Linked DNA regions of Saccharomyces cerevisiae S288C. The protein of the gene in region 1 purifies or fractionates together with the protein of each later gene. This does not show direct contact. Each region holds a gene or a part of one and is shown on either strand. Other genes may lie near its edges.

Region 1 (3,780 bases):
ATGATTTGTTACTGACTTTCAAAAAGAGAGACCCAATTACTGGAGAAGTCTTCGAATAATGGGGAAAAACAGAACTTTGTCCAGACAATAAATCATATTTACTTCATTAAGGGTTGGCGTTTTGAATACTTTTATTTTCTTCCCTTTCTCTTCATTTCAAATATAACTATTATATAGCAATCATATTTATTATTTAGATTTCTTTTATCATATTCAGGTTTTATAAACAATTTCATTTAGTTTTCTTCCATACGCTACAGCTAATGATCTGCTAAAGGTGCGACTTTACAAACAAATACTCACCCTGCCAGCTTTGGTTTCCTGAATTCTTTTTCGCATAACTAAGTTCCGTGAAGGCGAGCATGACAGCGGTAGATGATACAAAAGCTCAATAATTCAAATGCTATAACGGTACGATGTAAGATATACGCGTACATATATAAAATAGATGTGCTAATAGTTTTTATTATACATGAAGTTAGGAGATGAAGACGTTATGTTCAATCAAATTTGATCTTCTTACCTTCAAATTTAGCTTTTTGTAATTTTTCTTCAGCTAATCTTTTTGCAATCCAAGAAGGATGTTCTTCTCCAGTGGATGCACTTTCTTTTTCTTTCTTATTGTTCGTTTCAGTACGTCTGTCTTCGCGTTCCCTACTCCTAGAGGCCTCTAATGATGCTGCTTTAGCTTCACGCTTAGCTACTCTTGCTTCGTACTCGATTTGCCTCTGCTTTCTATCTTCCATTTCCTTTTCCAATTCCCTTTGAACGTGCTTGGCTTGTGAGCCGTATTTTTTTTCCCAAATCTTTCTTCTTGCCCTTTGCCCACGTCTGTTTTTCCTCTTTGGCTCGTTTGACATCTGCTCTCTGGCCGTACGGTCTTCTGCTGTGTCTCTCTTTTTCTTCTTTCCCTTAACATTTTTGTTGTCTTCATCGCTTTCCTCTTCAGTGTCATTTCCACTGTAATAACCAGCCATTAGTTCAGGTAAATTATGCAATTTTGGTTTTTTTCTCCTTGGTTCATTCTCTTCAGAGTCGCTGAAGCGTTCGTCACTGTCATCCTCATCGGATGACGCTTCGCTAGGTTCTTCATCTGTTACTTCATTGTAATTGATATTAGGGTTCAAGTATCCGCCGCCTTCCCCTTCATCTCCTGAACTGCCTAGCATTCCCTCGTATTCCTTTATCAATAGATCCTCATTGTCGGACGTTGTTTCTTTATTGCTTTGAGTTTGTGCGCCGATCGCATTAGATTTGCTATCGATGGCATTCTTTTCATTGCCGTCATCGGTGTCATAGTCAATGTTGGAGTGCGTCTGATTAGCATTGGCCGTCTTCTCCCTTGCTCCATACTTCTTTGCTTTCATAGCGCTTACATCAAATCCAAATATGAGACAAATACTCAAATCGAATGATTCGGTTAGATTTTGAACGATTTTACTTTGACCAATTAGTGCGTTTAACTTTTCACAACTTGGCAGCTTCGTAATAACTTCATTCCATATATTGCTTGGGTTCCACTTACTTGTCTTATCATTGATATAACCACTATAATCATTGTTATTCAACCAAGTTTTATTATTCGTATCACCTTCAATCTTTTTGCTTTTTTGTTTGATCCTCTGGTGTAAGATTTTGATCAGCCTAAATCTTGTCATGAAGAGTGCTAAATCATCTAATGACAACTGCGTAGCAAGCATCTTTTCAATATCTATAGAGGGTGATTTATTTTTTTGAGCATCCTTCACTTTACTAGAATTTTTTTTGGATATTTTCTGAATTTGTTCTTTTATACATTTTGATAAATGCGTCTCGTAATAGTGAATCTTATTATTGAGTAACTTTGAGTAACTTTCATCTAGTTCTTTGTCCAAAGTTTTCAACTCTAAAGAGTTTAACAGTTTTTCAATTTTCTTTTTGTTCTTTTTACCTATACAATTGTATAATTTGGCAGTTTTTGGATATCTTGGTTCAAACTTCTGTAATGATTTTGTCAAATAATGGTACTGATACTCCAACTGATCAAGCTTGTAGATAGAGACGGATGATTCGGAAGGCATGTTTCCTTTGGGTTATCCGTACACTTGACCTCTTTATACGTATATACTGGTTAAATTGCTTAAAGTAGTCATTCATACACTAAATGCACACAGTGATGAGGTAGATGAGATGAAAATTTTTGCCATATGGGCCATGTAATGTCTGGGTGTTGCTTTAATCGATCACTAACAGATGAAAAAGGTAGAATGGATAAAATACTTAAAGAATTTTATATGGCTTGTGATCAGACTGACGTGCAAATCATTTGATGAGACGTTTTCTTCATTGATGTTCTCAAGAAAATATATAGCTCAAGAAGTTGTCATCACATCACAATTAGTTATAATTAACGCAAGAGAAAATTTACTCAAGTTAATATATTTGAACTCAAATATATTGAAGAGATTAGAGTCGTCCAAATAGTCAGCATTACAATGGTTCGCTTGACCCAATTTCTAAATTTGCTAAAAATATTAAAGCTCAGTACCACGCCCTGTCACAGGCGAAATATCATCAAAGTTAATCGATAAACATTCGAAAAACGCAGTTGACCGTCGTGAAATGTGGAAATCATCATAAACAATTTTTGAAATTGGAGAAAAGTTAAAAACCTTGAAACAGTTTGTACGATCTCTCATCTCTCTCAGATAAATTTTCTAGTTTAAATTGCATCAGACACTAATTGCTCTTTTCAATCATGAAGATCAGACATATGCTTGTCTATTTGAGTAATTTGTTTCATCTTCTGCAGCATTGACGTCTCTAAGGTAGAAATTTTCTTTAAAAAACATGGAAGCAATACAGACACATCAACTGATGAACTAGTTATCTGTCGATTTTTTTCTATTTCCAAATTCTTTGCTAATCGAAAAGAATAATGTAAACAGCTTCAGAAAGGCATGAATGGTAATTTTAATAGTTGTGTCTTCACGAATGATCAGACTCGTCATCTATAAATATCTCATCATAAAAACCAATTCACATAATTATACGAAAATGAGAAAAAAATCCATTCTTCCCTATAGAAAATTCTGTTAGCCCTCAGAAAAACTTACAATGGATCAGTTGCGCGGGTTTTCTAGGCCCGCTAAAGCATTGTCACTCATTTGAAAGGATATTTGTTTCCCCCTCAGTGCCCAGTGCTGTGGATCCTCATTTCCATTGTATCAAATAGATCGAAAACATCAATCTACGGAAGAATAGCACTAAAAAACTACTGTTTTCTAAGCTTAAATGTATTCTTCCAATTTATGGAAATGTGTCAACTTTCTAGTATTTATTTTAAAGGTGTTTGCTAGGTCAGGATAGTGCAAAAACGTATCAACATATACTCGTTCAGCCAGTAATTCCAGCTTTTGTTTTTGTTATAATCATCATATGAACAAACACCTTTGAATAAATATGGAATAAAAAGAAAATTGAAATGGGTGTGGTAAATGAAAGGAGAGCAGAGAAATTGAAGAAATACTACTGTATTTCTATTTAGACTTTTCCTTTCAGTTTTTTCTTCTTTATTGCTAATTAAAAACCTCAGAAATAAGAATAAACGTTCTAATCACAAAAGATTCAGAAACTCTAGTTTGTAAAAATTTATTTTGGTCATCAAGGGAATAATTAGCCTGTGATAATGACAAAAGACATATCTGAAAAACTAACTTTGATAAAGAAGAAAAAAAGAACACGGAAAAAAACGTTTTATGGATTCAATTTCTCTCTCAGCCTTTCATAGCTCCCACTCAT
Region 2 (2,736 bases), on another chromosome or scaffold:
GTAACTGACGGGAAAGCAGCCAGGAATAAAGGTAAGAACACTACAAGGAGATGTGCTACATGCGGACAAATCGGGCACATTAGAACAAATAAATCTTGTCCAATGTATAGCAGTAAAGATAACCCTGCTTCACCAAAGTAGATTCAGTATAACGATGTATTGATCGAATAAAACTTTTGTAAAGGTTTTGTATAATGTAACAATAAAGAAATGTACACTATGTTTCTAAACACTGGCAGTGATCAGATTGATAATTTATTGAGTCATATCCTTAAACGATGGACGTGGTGTGTGAATGTGCACTTTTGCAGTAAGATGAAAAGTGCATATTATTTGAGTTCCATTAATATAGCCCAACTCACTGATTAAACACAATAATTGTTGTCTTTGTGCTCGAGTATTTAAAGCTTGTATTTTTCCAGTCTGATTGGAAATCACAGAGGTTAAAACATAAAGGACAATAGCAGAAAAGGTTCCCTAATATGCATTTTTCATACTGGTTGCTCTTTTCCTTTACAAAAGCAAATTCTTACTCAAAATTTAATCTTTTTCCCTATAGTAACCTGTTTGTCTTGATAAATATAATATGATTTATGTAGTTTTATTACTATAATTATATCAAAATTTTAATTTGTGTCTATTTTTTCCTCAACTAAGTTACCTTTTTTCATTTATATGCATTTGTGACGCACTCAAAAGTGTGATGCTGTCGTCAATTTTATAATGTTAAGAATATTAAAGCAAAAGTTTCCTAAAGTAATATCTGAAGTGCTCTAAAATCATAGTTTATCAAAAAATGCAACATTTCGAAAGTTCAGATAAGATAGAAAAGGATGATGATACATCAAGAATTAAATTACGCTCTTCTTCTTTGGCCGCTCCAATCCTCGAGGCTGTTCAAGAAGCCCAGCCTTTTGAAGAAGCCACTTTCTCTAACTTACAGAAGATACATCCGTTAACAGAAAACTCAACTTGCAATGGTTATGTTATTTACGATAAAGATGGAAATTTGAAATCCATGAAGGATACATTTGGTAGGAATATAAAAACACCTGATATTTCAAATCCTACAAGAGCAAGAAATGAAAGGCCATTGGATACAATACGTGGATTTGAATACTCCATAACAAAAGATCCCCGCTGGTTGCAAGAGCTAGAAACATCTAAGTTGGGATTTAAACCTAGACCTGGATTTGCCGTCATTAATCAAGACTCACAGGCTTCAATAAATTTATCTCAACTGGAAGAAAAAGTTATGGAAAGCCAAAAAAAAAAGGAGAAAAGACACATATCACGGCTTTCTCGGTTACTCTGCAGATGAATATAAAGATAAGTACGCTAAGATTATAAAAAGTGCTTGAAGCTCAAAAATATGTATTCCTTTAATTTCTGCGGTACCCTATGCCGGAGCACTAAGAAAAACACATTCAAAAAAATTTTCATACTCATCTCATCTCTACAATTAAACAATACATAAAACAAATATCGTGACTTAGTTATTTTACTTATATCATTCAATAAACCTAATCAATCAATGGCTAAATTACAGAGGAAGAGAAGCAAGGCTCTTGGGTCATCTCTAGAGATGTCCCAGATAATGGATGCAGGAACAAACAAAATTAAAAGAAGAATAAGAGATTTAGAGAGGTTATTAAAAAAGAAGAAAGATATACTTCCATCCACAGTAATAATAGAAAAGGAAAGAAATTTGCAAGCTTTACGGTTGGAATTGCAGAATAATGAACTCAAGAATAAGATTAAAGCCAACGCTAAAAAATATCATATGGTGAGATTCTTTGAAAAAAAAAAAGCATTGAGAAAATATAACAGATTATTGAAGAAAATAAAAGAATCTGGCGCAGATGATAAAGATTTACAACAAAAGTTGAGAGCCACTAAAATTGAATTATGTTACGTGATAAATTTTCCCAAAACTGAAAAGTATATTGCACTATATCCGAATGATACACCATCTACAGACCCAAAGGGCGTAGAATTGACAAATCTTAGAAGAGAACAATTTCTTAAATTAGTAGCTGAAAGAATGGATGCGAACACCTTAAACGTATCTTTCGAAGAGATATTGAAGGGAAAGAAATTGGATGAAGATTCCATCGGATTAACATTATCACCTGATAAAGATCATGAGGATGGATCACAAGTATCACCTACACAGGATAGAAAAGAATTGGATCAAGTTGTGGGAGAAGATGAAAAGGATGACTTTTTTGAGTAAAAAAATTCTAAATGCGTTATGTAAGAAAATATATACGAAGATGTATACTAGATAGATTTCCACTGTTATCTTTCACAAAATAATTGTTGTTTTAATTGTGTCTCACTAAGAGATTAGTTTATGGACCATATCATAACGTAATCCTAAAGCGTCATTAATAAGGGAAAATTGCAATTCTTCGCCACGAATTTCTTCGGGAATAAATAGATCACAATGTATTATGACCTCTTTATTCATTTGTTTTGGTTGACACCTTTTAATCATCAGCAGTTCATCGCCTTTGTGTCCAATTAAAAACCATAGTTCTTTTTGTATCTTAGGGAATTTATCACAATATACTTCAAACCCATTATTATGCTTACTAGAAAGGTGCTTGCTATAAAATGTTAACACCTCGTTATTTTCCTGTTCTTCAAATTTCATGCCTTCTAAAACCGGTAATCTTTGGCAGACACTGACGAAACGTTTTTTCGTATCTTCGCTTTCTGTCATTCCAAAAG

Evidence for each region. The genes of interacting proteins can lie anywhere in the genome.
Region 2: the proteins of BUD22 (region 1) and EFG1 purify together in Saccharomyces cerevisiae (affinity purification with mass spectrometry; 3 studies listed by BioGRID). This does not show direct contact.

Annotation. Positions count from the first base shown.
Region 1 is NC_001145.3:297,148-300,927, reverse strand, and holds BUD22 (Bud22p), read right to left. Parts: upstream 2,061-3,780; coding exon 501-2,060; downstream 1-500. Other genes in the region: ERG5 (C-22 sterol desaturase), read left to right, coding at 1-59. UniProt on the Saccharomyces cerevisiae protein: Involved in positioning the proximal bud pole signal.
Region 2 is NC_001139.9:1,037,300-1,040,035, reverse strand, and holds EFG1 (Efg1p), read left to right. Parts: upstream 1-1,534; coding exon 1,535-2,236; downstream 2,237-2,736. Other genes in the region: TAF1 (histone acetyltransferase), read left to right, coding at 1-141; YGR273C (uncharacterized protein), read left to right, coding at 797-1,321; SLH1 (RNA helicase), read right to left, coding at 2,342-2,736. UniProt on the Saccharomyces cerevisiae protein: Involved in rRNA processing. Required growth at elevated temperatures, resistance to hydroxyurea and for cell cycle progression.